2 linked regions of the Mytilus edulis genome follow. The protein of the gene in region 2 binds, or shares a complex with, the protein of the main gene of each other region. Links are inferred from orthologs where the notes say so. Each region holds a gene or a part of one and is shown on either strand. Other genes may lie near its edges.

Region 1 (7,197 bases), on a different chromosome or scaffold from region 2:
TGGATTTTTCAAAGTTTGCGGGGAAAGTGCTGATGTGAATCTAAACGTTGTTGCAGAATTTAAAAGTAAATTACCCGAAATTGTTAAAGATTATGACCCAAGGGATACGTTCAATGCTGATGAAACAGGCCTTTTCTTTCGTGCCCTTCCTGACAAGACATTAGCGGAGCGTGGGAAAGAATGTAAAGGGGGTAAAATGTCAAAACAAAGGCTTACTGTTATGCTGTGTTGTAGTGTCAGAGGCGAGAAACTAAAACCTTTAGTCATTGGTAACGCTAATAAACCTAGATGTTTTCGCAATTTGGATGTTAAATCGCTTCCTGTGACTTGGAAGGCTAACAAAAAGTCCTGGATGAATAGCACATTTTTCACTGAATGGGTAAAGGACATTAATCGGGACATGCGGAAAAAATCTAGGAAAATCGTAATTTTCCTTGACAATGCAACTTCTCACTCGCACAATCTAAAGCTTAGTAATGTTGAATTGAAGTTTTTCCCAGCAAATACGACTTCTAAACTACAGCCACTTGATTTGGGTATTATTCGTGCCTTTAAAGCGAGATATAGAAAGCACATGATCAAACATTTACTGCCACAAATTGACAACTGCAATACAGTTACTGAACTTTGCAAAGAAATAAACGTTTTAAAAGCCATTCACTGGATTAAGAAGTCGTGGAACGAAACTAAATCCACAACAATTGAATCATGTTTTCGTGATGCGGGATTCCCCTTAGAGGCCCCAACAATTGTAGATGAGCCTGAAGACCCGGATGACGACATACCGTTAGCCGATTTAGTGGAACAATTAAGGTCAAGGGATCCGAGTGTACAAATTACAGAAGCTGACGATGTTGATGACAATTTGGCCACCGAATCAGCATTTGATAGTGAGTGGGAAACGGACTTAATCAGGGAATTTACTGGAGATACTTTAATCGAATCCGACGAAGATATTGACACAGACATTCCAACAGAGGTTCAACCCGGTTCCGATATGAACCATACTGACATTTTGGATTTATTGACAAAGTTGCGCAATTTTTCTATTTCTAAGGATAGCCGTTACCTAGATCAAACGGAACAAATGATTTCAATGACCGAGGACTTGATTGTAAAAAGCAAACTAGCTACACGTCAGACAACATTGGATAATTATTTCTCTGTACAATGAGATCGATTAACAGTTTGAACTTGCACTTTATTGTTCATTAAAAATTGTAATTGTTTTTTCTGCATCTATAAAATAACTTTTTGATATATTTTATTTTATTTTATATTGAAACCAACACGACAATACTTGTCATCTGTTGTATTACTTGGTGTCCGTCGTCTGGTGTATTATTTGGTGTCCGTCGTCAGTGTCTAAATCATTTTGCTGTCCACTTCCGTTTACCTCCACAATCCGAACACCTGTGAAAACCGAACAAAACACAAAGTCCCATGGGTGTTCGGTTTGGACAGGTTTCACTGTACCAAAAGCAGTGGAAACATGGATAGGAACTTAAAACAGGAGGAAACTTGCAGTAAAACAAAATTGTAGAATGAAAAACGAACAAAATCCTATTCCAAATATTACTGAAGTACAAGACATGTCAGTACAGACAGAGCCTGTTTCTCTTACAAGTTTAAGTGACAGAGAGGAGGTAAGGCTTGAAGTGCAGGCTGCAATCAAAAAAATGTATATAGATGATGATGATAATGAGGATGATGATGATGAACAAAATGAAAATAACAACATGTTTTAATAGAATCAAATAAATCAGATTGATATAATAATATTTGTATTTAAGTACTCAATTACAGGGTCCAATGAGAAAAATTAGTGGCTTATTTCTCTTACCAAGTAACTTAAACTACGGTACATAGAACTTTACTTATCAAAAATACCAAAGTGTTACTGTTAAGCATGATAACTTTCGTCCCTCAAAATACAAGGGTAAATGTTTTATTGTCAGTGGAGATAAGCCATGAATGTTTTTCATTGATTGTCATAAAAAATATAATTAGAATGTAAATATTTATACTGTTACACATAAAAACATCTTAGTCAAAATGCAAATATGGTATGATGTATGGGTGCAGCCTATGATAAATTATAATATTTATTCATGAAATATAATAATATGTTTCTTGTACATGTGACAGTCACAGTCGGTGTCTTGCAGGAAAAGACACTGAACCAAGAGGATTGAAATTTATGCTTGTACATCACATTTTCAAAACTATTTTTTTTAGGCTTTCTGGTAACACATCAAAGCTACACCATTGAAAAAAAAATGCCAAAATTACAAGTTATTTTTTATTAATTTGACCATAGTATCTCCTTTTCCTTAAACCCAGGAGCTTACAGGGGGCAAAGCCCCCCCTGGACCCTCCACAGGGCTTCACCCTCGATAAAAAAATATGAGACCTCTGACGAATCACAATAAGGTTATTTGACGAATCACAATAAGGTTATTTTGATGAATCACGATAAAATGTCAACCAATTTGACGCTAACGTAAACGATAACCGAAAATGGCCGTTTGACACCTGGCAGTACAGGGCACCTACTCTCATACACCTTATCGCTATTTGTCCGCCATTGCTGGAAATCACACAGGTTCCCCTAAAATTTTGACGTCATAAAACAAAATATCTGACGCCACAATGGAAAAGTGATTGTTGTTGACGTCAAAAGTTCAAGCGGCCGGGTCAGCCGGGATTAGCGATAAGGTGTATTGTCATACAAATTCATTTTTGCCATTCCATGAACATTCAACCATGCTCCCAAAATGACAAATTGACCCCCGATTCTCGCCATATGAGAATAGTTTTTATCATGATTACTTTTGACATTATTTTTTTTAACGCATTATGTTTATGATTGTGGAGAAACTTATTTTAAAAACCTTCAAAGTGCTCAAGTCTTCCATCGTGTTTTTCTTTTTATTTAACCGGAAATCACAATTTTAAACTTCCGCCCATTACCGAGAAAAACCAGAAAAAGATCCGGACTTGCTTACTATGTATACAAATAAAAATAGTAACAAAATAACGAATTTTTCTATTGATATAGACCCAAGTCAACGAAACGTGTCGAGTAATTGATTAGTCCAACGTCCTATGCTCTCATTTCAGATCTTTATCTACATTAAAGTGTTATCACGTAACAAAGCCCTATGAAACTCAGTTCTCGTATCTATTATCAATATAATCACATGACGATTTAGGTGTAAGTTGACTTAATTCAAAATGTTACAATTTACCTTTGGATGTTCATGTGTTTGTATCATTTTGATTCTATGTAGTTCGAACGTTCTAGCAAAGAGTTGCACTAAAAAATCAGCATGTTCTTGTCTAACAGATTCTGGACATTTAATTGATTTAACTCCATTGGCGAAAAAGGATGGAACCCCTGCGTAAGTTTGTTCTTTTTATTTATAGCAACATGGTTCAGAGTCTAACAATTATTTTGCTGACTCAATAAGATTTGATTTCATGTCAGGAAAGGAACCGTCACTGTTTGCGAAAAAAAAGTGAAATCACATAAATACTGAACTCTGAGGAAAATTCTAAACGGAAAGTCCCTAATCAAATCAAAAGACACAAATCCTTTCATCTACATGGCTCATTCAGTCATGTCTTCTTTTTCTCCAATCAATCCGTGACTGCATTCTTACACACACGACTCAGGTTATCTTCATCAATCAAGTCACAGTTTAATTCTGTTGACTTTTCACTTTTATCAGTTAGCTTCCGATTTTCTCATATCTTACTTTTAACTACCCTCTTCTCCTGAATGTAAGGTAGGGTTCTATTATTTTTTTCGACAATTAACACGAGAAAAGCCCGAAATGTTTTGCAAGTTCGGGGTTTTTTTTTTGTTAAACTTTTGTGTAATGAATTTTTAGTTATCTGTTCAAAAATGCACTGTGTTTTATTCTTATAGATTCTGGAATTTAGTGATTGATTTAAACCATGACAAACTTTATAGAAAATAGCAAACGAAGTTCACTTCTCACACATTTGGTGTCCGTCATCCCATACACAAGAATGAAGGACATTTAAATTTTTAAATTAATCAGTACACGTGCTATGTCTTAGATAAATCTTATAAATTTTATAGTTATCATTGATGTAAACGGAAAACACTTATACCCTGTTATGATTTTTAAAATATCTTTTTTTTACAAAAAACGTGATAAAAAATGTCCATAGCAAGTGAACTTTAAGAAGGATTTCCAAATATGATACTTAAAAAAAAAAAAAAAAAAATAAAGTCAGCGTTTACTGTTGTCAATGGACATTTGAAAATAGCCTTCATACTTTTTTTCTTTTTTCCCTATGTTACTATTGTGGTTATTGTACCTTTGACTTAAAAAAATTCTTAAAAATTCCGATATTCGTCGCAGTTAATTTTTCCATAGCAGATAAGATTGAAAAATGATGAAACAATCTAATTATCAAGATTTTTTTTTAACTCAATGTTTTCTGTTGTCAACTGCATTTTGAAATGCAATCAAAATGACAGTTTATGAATTTGATATACTGTGACCATGATATATTTCGGGGGGAAAATGAACAATTGAATAACACAGATACATTCAAAACCGAGGTTATGTCAATTTACCAAAATTATAAAGACTTAATTTTAATACACATACGAGATATCATTTGTCATAATAAATTATATATCTCGGTGAGCAATTTAAAACTATCAGAGTTTTTATTAAAAAAAAATGTAGGGTTATCTCGCTTGGAAATGTCCAATATTCTTGAACATGGTTAGTTTAAACATATTTATTTATAGTGGATTGTGAAATAAGTTTTGCAACTTATGTTAATCCCTTTCCACTTTGCAGGTGCGAGTTTACAATGCTGATCTACCTAATGTCTATAGATTTTGCCCTTTTAAAAGCGAAGAATTTTATCATTTATTTTCTCCATTTTTGCCTATTATGATCTTTTATCTTGAAATTATAATAGATATAGAGAAACGGTAAGAAGCACAAATGATCAGCAAGATAAGATCTACAAAAAATGTCAAAATCGTCAGACGACTCCTGATTGGAGTAATAGCCCTTTAATGACGATTTAAAAAAAAATTGTCTAATGTCAGAAAAATTAAAATAGGTAGATTGAAACATAAATCAGAAAACTGAAAACTATCAGCAACACAAGATCCATAAGTTTAGTAGTTGAAATCGTCCGATGATACAAGTTTTTATTAAATCAGGAAAATCAATACAAGTATAATTAAAAACCAATTGTTCAGAGAACAATTGAAAGTCTTTCCAAACTAAAGTAATTTGGATAAGAAGGTAGTTTCTTTATACTGATGCGATAAATGATGGTTTAATTATCTTTTTGAGTGATATAAGGGAGATAATATGCTACTACCGGTGAAATTAATGTCACATCCGGTCTCATATGATAGCTTCTTTCACACTGATTCCAAAAATATATAGTTTCTATATACTTTTGTATGTAGAATGGGAGATAATTGGCCACTTCCGGTTTGTTGGAAGTCATTTTTAGTCTTCAGTAATCTGTTCATGTATCTATATGACAAAATATATGGATTCTGGGTACTTTTAGGTGAAAGAAATTGCAAAAATAGCTACTTCCGGTTTTCTAAAGGTCACTTCCGGTAGCCATTTTTCAAGGTCATTAGTCACTTAACCTTTTGTATGAGGTCAAATGTCTTTATAATGAACTTAATTGAAGTTATAATCAAATAACTTCATATCAAGACATTTCAGGGGCACCAACTCCTATAAGATGCCATTTAATTGTATAAGACTAAATGTAACATATCTTCATTACAATAAAGCTGACATTTGCACTTGTTCTTTTATGTGTATCTCTCAAAGTGTCGGAGAAAATGCAAAAACAAGCAAAAGTCACAATTTAGAACTTGACCTTGACCTTTGACCTTGACCTCATTTTCTAAGTTGGGACCCATTGGACTCAAATAAAAACATTCCAGGGTTATACAGTTAACGGTTTATGAGTTAAATAAACATACCGACAAATTTATTTTGTAAAGGTAGATAACTCCTATAAAATTTCATCGAATCGCTTCGCTCCAAATGCGCCAAAAATTACTGAGGATGTAACGAACAATTTGTAAAAAGAATTTTGTCGCTATCTTTTTTTGTTACGAAGGAGATGCACACAGATGATAAACAGTGAATAGGGAGATAACTCTTACAAAGAAAATGGTTCGGCTTAGCAGGGTAAAATTTAAAAGCGCGTAAACTATACGATACCATATGAGAAATATCTAAGCGACATATTGCGAAACAAACATTTATCGCAAGAACAAAATTTGGCGGAAAAAAAAAATAATAATCAGAAGAAAAACAATAAGTCTTTCCACAGAAAAGTGGAAAGACTTAATGATGTCTTCCCCCACATTAACATGATATTACATCACATAAATACATATATATCATGTTTGACAAAATATCAAATCAAGGTTAAATGAATAAAATTACAAAGATTCAAAGCATAATTAATTTTATGTAATGGCATATATTTTTTGTATCATCAATATTTTGTGGGTTAATTAAACTAATAATGGTTTTCATAACTTTTTCAGGGCGCAGATCTTGATTAAATAGTTGTTTTCTATAATTTTAAATTTTTTTGCAATAAATAAGGTTATGTTTTTCATCCTCTATTTGATTACAGTTCAAGCATATTCTGTTTTCTCTCTTAAATTTTGGTCTGAAATATCTGCCCTTTTCAATCAAAAAAGGGTGGGAACTAATTCTTAATTTTGTAAGATTTCTTGTTAAGATACCTTATTAGAGTTACTGACCTTTAGTGGCAATTGTTACCACTTTTTCCCCCATTTTCGTCATATATCTTATAAGTTACAATAGATAGATAGAAGCTTGAAATAGCAAAAATGATCAGTCAGATAAGATCTACAAAAAAGTCTAATGGCCGAATTCTTTAGTAGACTCCTGATTTCATTTACTGCCTTTTAGTGACAATTTATTACCCATTTCTAGTGTTTTGCCCCTTATCTTGAAAACTATTACAGATAGATAGCCATTTCAAATACCAAATTGATCTGGATGAAATTTTCTTTGACTCCTTGCTGAAAGAGGTCTTGTTCATTAATGACTATATTTACCGACTTTTTGTGTTTTTGATGTTTATCTTTCAAACTATGAAAGATAGATAGATACTTTTAATAGC
Region 2 (7,906 bases):
GATTTGGCCTCAAGTGTTTGGCCTTTCACTTTTTCCAACTGATTTCTTTTTGAGGAAACCCTGTATTTATTAGCAATGTTCTCGTTAAGGTACGCACACACGCCCGTGTGTTCTACGGCTTCCTAAAAACACTGGCTGAGTCTTGTTATCATCATAACTTTTCCTCAGCTTTTCAAAAGAAGCAGAAAACATGCTTCTATTCAATATTTTAACCGAACATTCACTTTTGTTTTAATTCAATGTATGTTATGATAAATCCCGAGCAATGCGAAAAAAATATGACTACATGACACACACTAATTGGATAGACGTCGAGAAGATCGATATGTTTTCAAAAACACGTGTACCTATTGAGCAACGGCAAACTCTAAAAGGGACCTATTTCAGCTACTTGATGCAGGGATCTATTTTTAGAACGAAAGGAAATTTCCAATTATAAATATTATAAAAAATAAAAATAGTTTACGCTACGACTGTAAACAGATAAGGGTAAACAACGCAAATGGTAGCCAATAAAAGGGTGGAAAACTCATGGTTTTGGAATATAATTGGGTTTTCCTTTGAATTAATTGGGTTATTGAACCCTGCAATGGGCAATTGCATTGGGTTTTTTATTATTTGTATTGCATGATCACGCAAATACGCAGCTTATCTGGAGCTCTGAAGATACAACAAATCGAACAAACCAATGAGTTCAAATGAAGTAAATGTATACATTTATAAGCAACCATACAGCTTTCAACAATGCGAACAACCCATACTAAATGTATCATCCTATATTGTCACTTTGATTCTTGTATATCAGTCATTTCAAAATAAAGTACAAATTCGGAATCTGAACTTTTCCAAAAAAAAAGTTAAAATAAATGCAAATTAATTTAAAAAACCAATAGCATATTGATTTGTTAATATTTTTTCAAAATATGCAATCTTACCAACACCTGAGAAAATTTTATTTTAAAATTGTGTGCAGGCTTGTGTCAGATTTTGTCCATCCTGTTACTATTTTTAACTGATAGCAAAAGTGATAATAGAAAAGAAAATATCCAATGAAAAGTGTGGCTCACATTTGCATAGCAGTGTTCATTTGAAATCACATTTACATTTATCATTTATGTAGATTACCCAAAAAAAATCTGCAGATAGTCGGTACGTTCAGGAAAATCATCACATTTCTTATTTTTCAAACACTCTTAAAAAAATATTGTGGAGACAGTGGCATTGAAAATTTACTAGTATGTCCCTTTTCAATTATACTAACTGGAAACTTAGTCAATAGATCAGTTATGTTGATTGTAAAAATTATTTTACACATTTTTTGGGGTAACAGGAACGAACAAAGACAGTAACAGGGAGGACAAAGTGGTAACAGTAGAGACAAAACATAATTTGGGTCACGAAAATCAATAACAAAAAACTGGATTTTGAATTTCATAGGGATACGAACGGGAGATATAAGTAAATAAACATTATACACGAACCATTTATACGTGTATCAACCCTGTCTGGGTCAAACAAACAAAACAAAACAAAAACAAATGAAAAATTGTTATTGGTGTTTTTTGTTTTTTTCGTTAAGTATGAAGTAAGATTTTGTTGCCGCAAGTCGTAAAAATCAGTACATAAGATGACATGCCTTTCTGTGAACTACCGCTTTTAAGACCAAGTTCAGCATGTTGGTTCTTATTTATTTATCATATTCTCTTCCTGAATATGCCTTTAAGTGTCCACTGGAGGCTAACCAATCAGCAGAACAACCACCCATCGTTCCGTCTTAGAGAAGGTTGAAGATAGGCGTAAAGAGCAAAACTAATTTCATATGTTTAAAAACATAAGGACAATTTAAAGAACACAACAATACAACTGAACGAAAATTCAAATTATTTTTTTTCTTATTGTCAATGATTCTGATATACATGTATCTAGTTTCTGACACATTTTAACACTGAAGGCTTGTCATTCTTGGATTTCTGGATCATCTCGATAAGTTCACGAAGAGGTTCTGATTTTATTTGGATTCGGAATGATAGCCAACATTCTGGAAGTTGTAGCAGCGTCTCTCAATGATTTTGACAAAGAAAAGCACGGAGGCGTCCAAAAAAAAGGGGGGGGGGTATGTCATTATAAAAATTAATAATACACACAGATTTGCCGCTGGTGTGCTTATTTGTATTTGGAATGGCAAATATATCAATGACCTGCAACTTTAAGAAGGCAATAAATCAATGGGTAGAAATTCTTATATCAATTAATGGGTCGACCCATACGTACATGATGTGCACCTACTGTAGACTAAAATTGGTGTTCTAATATTTGTATCTCCTAATATCATCTCATTTAAGTAAGAGAAGGGATTTGCACATAGTTATTTTATGAATAGGGCAGGGGAGTTCAAACCACAATCGGAGGTATAATATACCCACATTTATATGTTGTGCACCCCCCCCTTTTTTTTTGGAATAAAAGACATTCTTTTGTGTCATGAGTGTTGCTGTCGTCTCGCAAGGTCTGTATCTCTATTTGCCTGTAACGAGAAAGTATCATGTCTCTAAGAAACCAGTACAAAAGTTGGCAAAACATTGCACAATTAATAATGTAGTCCATCCTGTTACCAGTCAAGGTAGCACTTGACTTGTTCTAGAAATACCTCAATACAAATGTACATTTTATGAATTAATATACCGTACGGTAATAAATATGCGTAACAATTTATTTGCGATAATGTAAGAGGCATTTTGAGTTTTCTTACACAAAGTATGTCTATCCTGTTACCATTTTTGTCCCTCCTGTTACCAATGTCTTTGTAACAGGAAGGACAGTAACAGGATGGAAAAAATAGTACATAACTTAAATTGGTTTTATAATAGTCGCTCCCTAATAATTGATGTAGTGTTTTTATACTTCCGGCCCATGCCTAAGTTACGGTAACAACCGTTTCATTAGTCTTATGCAATTAAAAATTATCTATCAACTGGTAACATTAAAGACATTATAAAAAGGTACGCATACATCAATACCTACCGATCTTTTGATTCTGATGACCAAAATCTTTCCACATAAAAAATTTCACCATGTCGTTATGTCCTGTATCCACGCCTACGACGTCACCATAAAAAACCGCCGTTATTTGAGGGAGAAACTAGTTTTATTCCGTAAACAAATAAATAGTAACAGGAAGGACACATATTGATGAACAGACATTCCAGTGACTGTGGAATAAAAGTTGTCATGATTTGAAACATGGAAAGTTATTTATTTTTAATTATGATGTTACTAAATGAAGAAAAATCATTCTGTTTACCTTTAAATGCAGTTTTATGTACAGATAATTTGAATGCAAATGTTATTTATCAAAAATGAACGCATGGAAATTGGCGAATTTTCATACTTAAACGAATATAAAAAAAAATATGAAACTTTTTGCACACTAATATTTGCATGTACTATCTTGCACAATATGTAAACTCTTATGTTAAATTGAAAAAATATGTCAAACTTACAAATAAAACAGACAATAGACATTAACCGAAAAATGTACATTTTTTTGAAATGACTGATATCATGTATATGGTGAACTTAAATGTGTACTTTAAAAAAATCTTATCTTTATTTTTGGAGTTGGTAAAACTTCATCAGAGAATTAATATTAAACTATTTATCTATATTTTCATACATCAATCAATGTCACAGTGGCGGATCCAGAACTTTTCATAAAAGGGGGGCAGCTGACTGACCTAAGGCGGGCCTGCTCCAGTCATGCTTCAGTGATTCCTTATATAATCAACCAAATTTTTCCACGAAAAGGGTGGCCCGGGCCCCTTCCCCCTGGATCTGCCTATGAATGACAATATTATATATATTAAAATATCAACTTTTTCTCTGAACATGATCTCTAAAGGACAGGCCATATAGTAGCCTTAAATCTTAGGATTCAGGATTCAATATTACAAATAACTTCTTGTATATAAATGTTCATATGAACATGCTGTTTTATGATGATATTATTGCTTATTCATATCTGAAAACTTCTGTCAAATTATTACGTTCTTTACCCAACAACGGCCATTTTCTAGTCATATGACTTTCACTTTGTATACAAATTTTTATCACGTGATTTTATTCTATTTTGAGAGAAAGTATAATATAATACATATTACTACAATAAGAATTAACTTTACAGTTGATGTCTGTTTCTTTATGTTAAAGAACATGATTTTAATCATTCTAACTCCCGGGATAATATAATTTATTGGTTTTTTTTTTTATTTAATTCCGGATTTTTACCCGATTTCGATTTTTTGTTAGTCACCGGAACTGCGGGAAAACCAAGAATCCGGGTCCGTTCGCCCTGATTCTCGTTCGCCCTGGTATCTGTTCGCCCTGATTCCTGTTCGCCCTGATTCCTGTTCGCCCAGGGTCCATTCGCCCAGGGTCCATTCGCCCTGATTTTTCATTTGTTCTAATTGTTCTAGTTTCCTAATTTTAAGAGTATAATACTAAATGAACTTGTAAACAAACATGTTTCATGATTTACAGTTCGTACATCATTGTTTTTATTAATTTCAAGCTGAATATTTTATCAAAAGTTTTAAACAAAACGTTTGATTTTTATTAATAATCCATCAAAAGACAAGTATCAAAATAATCAGCGATGCGAATTATTTTGTCATTGAACAATTGTAATGATCCTAAACAAGCCATAAACTTTAACATATTTCGCGGTTTCCATAAATTTCAAGAATATATACCATAGAAATATCTGAATAAGTTTATTCAACTTCAATGCCCTCAATATTAATATTTTTTTAGTAGGGCGAACGGACTATATGGGCGAACGAACTCAGGGCGAACATACCCAGGGCGAACATGTTATTAGGGCGAACGGTCCCGATACCGAAAACCAAACGAAAACAAATCAACGTGCAAACTGCCAAAAGTTTACATATTACCAGTTCACTGGCGAATACAAATAGATTCAAAATTGAAAATGGTATAAGTTTCGTATGAAAACTTGAACTTATTTCTAAGCTCTGTTTAAGGGCTAAAAAGATGGGCTTGATATTGAAGTGTTATTTGCCATTTTGGCCGGTCTCGCTGAGCTCTACGGTTACCCCAGGGGTTAATACAAGCTATACTTAGTGTTAGAGTGCCCTTACCTCTCTTCTAGGTGTCAGTCCCAGCTAACCTTGTCAGGTCCCAAATTTCAGGCGCATTGCCTTGCTCGCTTCGCGTAAGAGAGGGATGCACTTGAAGTAGAGGCTGGAAGTACCTATAGTCGCCGTCAGCTGAAATTCGTAGCGGTTATCGGTAAAAATAATCTAAACTATCAATCGCGTTTCACTCGAGATATAGTTTTTCACATTCCATTCATAAATCGCAAAAAGAAAAACCACTACTGACCTACCTTTTAAGTGATCGCACTGTAACAATCCTGACCTTCACTTTTTCATAGACGATTTTGAATGGTGGAATCAGCCATTGTTTTTACCGGAAGTGTTTCCGTGGAGTTCAATTTCATAAAATTTGCATAAAGCGCGGGAAACCTTATCGCATCAATGAAAGGAACATTTCAGGAAACTGCGTACTGTGACGAATGTCATATGTAAACAAATGATCCTCATAGAAACGAAGATGGCGGAATTACAATGGAAAATATTCCCGAAAATGTGAAGGTCAGGATTATTACAGTGTGATCACTTAAAAGGTAGGTCAGTAGTGGTTTTTCTTTTTGCGATTTATGAATGGAATGTGAAAAACTATATCTCGAGTGTACGCGATTGATAGTTTATATTATTTTTACCGATAACCGCTACGAATTTCAGCTGACGGCGACTATAGTCCAAATAATTATGACGTCTTGAAAGGCTATTATAATTTTTTTCTTTGACGCCTTACTTCAACGTCGAAGTAAGGCGTCAAAGAAAAAAATTATAATAGCCTTTTATCATCGGTATAAAGACATCATTCGTAAATATAGCTCAACATGCAGACTTCTAATACGTTCAGGTATTTCACATCCAATTTTTTATGTAAATATTCTTTATAAAGCACAAAGGTGTCAGTATTCACCTCAGAAACTTACAAAACCTTTGAATAGACTTATTAATAAGGGATATAATTACGATCCTGTTGTCAAGTCATTAAAGATTGCATATTTTGGCGTTAATATTGAGTCACTGATAAGGTCTTTGCATCGGAACTAAACACATTTATTCTAAAAACAGTTGTTGGCATGACACGGGTTATGTTCTTCTCATATATGTTATGATGGTATGATACTAAACCCCTAACGGGAAGGATTGTGCCTGATGTTCATATGATGAAATCATAATCTTTCAGTCAGTTTATTTGAAGTCTGGAGCTGGCATGTCAGTTAACTGCTAGTAGTCTGTTGTTATTTATGTATTATTGTCATTTTGTTTATTTTCTTTGGTTACATCTTCTGACATCAGACTCGGACTTCTCTTGAACTGAATTTTAATGTGCGTATTGTTATGCGTTTACTTTTCTACATTGGTTAGAGGTATAGGGGGAGGGTTGAGATCTCACAAACATGTTTAACCCCGCCGCATTTTTGTGCCTGTCCCAAGTCAGGAGCCTCTGGCCTTTGTTAGTCTTGTATTATTTTAATTTTAGATTCTTGTGTACAATTTGGAAATTAGTGTGGCGTTCATTATCACTGGACTAGTATATATTTATTTAGGGGCCAGCTGAAGGACGCCTCCGGGTGCGGGAATTTCTTGCTACATTGAAGACCTGTTGGTGACCTTCTGCTGTTGTTTTTTATTTGGTCGGGTTGTTGTTTCTTTGACACATTCCCCATTTCCATTCTCAATTTTATTTTAAGACGTCATAATTATTTAGACTAGGAAGTACCCAACTGTTACCCTTGCGTCATGTGTCCCTTTCAGATCCCTCGGTGATGTACCAGTACCCTTGTTACATGTTGGGGAAACCCCCTAGAACTACGGGCCAATTACACTACTGTATATTTTTTTTATTTTTATCAAAGAAATCTAACAAAAACATTTCATATACAATAATACAAATGATTGATTGATTTTACTCTGATCTCCAACGGCTGTTTTGCCTTACCTGCTATTCCCATATCAGTAATTAGATATTTTCCCATCCAATATAGATGAGCTGCTTGGATGCTTCTGAAGTTCTGTCGCCGACAGACTGCCTTTGGTCCATATAAATCAGATCTCAATTTGATAATTTTTCATTTATCTTTTCATTTATATTAGTTTCATCTTCCTGCCACCCTTTATTTTCTCATATTTGGACAGTTTTCACAGTGACCCAACGATTCCAGGATTATCATTATCACACACTATCATTTTCTATGTGCAAAGAAACGTAAAATTGGGGTCAAAACTTTAATTTGGCAAACAAATTAAAAAGATCATATCATAGGGAATGTATACATCCTAAGTTTCAAGTTGACAAAATTTTCCTTGACCAAAAACTTTAACTTGAAGGTTGAAGGATAGGCAGACTTACTTAAATAAGTGATTTTCTAAATCACTGATTCAAGTAACATTATTTCCATAAAGGTTGGAAGTTAGAGTTGTCTTTCTTTAATAATCACCTATTTAAGAAGTAAAAATTAATCACTAGAAGAAGTGATATAATTTTATTGTAGCTTTAAATATAGAATACTAATGATCCAGGGACTAATTATGTTTCTAAACTTATCAGAACCAACATCTGTGTTGTCTAGGATGACTAGGTCATTTCAGGTGATGACCTTGTACTGAATCTAGGATAATGACATAAAAATCACTTGTTTAAGTATCAGACCTCAATTTCCTTCCCAAAAATCACTTCTTTAAGTATCATTCTTTTAATAACCCCCATTAATTTCAACACCCCCGAACAGTGAAATTTTTATCACGAACAG

Evidence for each region. The genes of interacting proteins can lie anywhere in the genome.
Region 1: THO complex subunit 6 homolog (region 2) and SAP domain-containing ribonucleoprotein-like share a complex: the UniProt entries of both Homo sapiens proteins name them as parts of the transcription/export (TREX) complex. The link is inferred for Mytilus edulis from reciprocal best matches to the Homo sapiens genes THOC6 and SARNP.

What each region holds. Positions count from the first base shown.
Region 1 is NC_092345.1:85,205,220-85,212,416, reverse strand, and holds the start of SAP domain-containing ribonucleoprotein-like, read right to left. Parts: upstream 3,016-7,197; 5' UTR 2,919-3,015; coding exon 2,895-2,918; intron 1-2,894. Other genes in the region: uncharacterized protein, read left to right, coding at 3,238-3,404. UniProt on the Homo sapiens protein: Binds both single-stranded and double-stranded DNA with higher affinity for the single-stranded form. Specifically binds to scaffold/matrix attachment region DNA. Also binds single-stranded RNA. Enhances RNA unwinding activity of DDX39A.
Region 2 is NC_092349.1:58,726,191-58,734,096, forward strand, and holds the start of THO complex subunit 6 homolog, read left to right. Parts: upstream 1-4,901; 5' UTR 4,902-4,987; coding exon 4,988-4,990; intron 4,991-5,156; exon of another isoform or gene 5,157-5,285; intron 5,286-5,400; exon of another isoform or gene 5,401-5,495; intron 5,496-7,906. Other genes in the region: serine-rich adhesin for platelets-like, read right to left, coding at 4,053-4,066. UniProt on the Homo sapiens protein: Component of the THO subcomplex of the TREX complex which is thought to couple mRNA transcription, processing and nuclear export, and which specifically associates with spliced mRNA and not with unspliced pre-mRNA.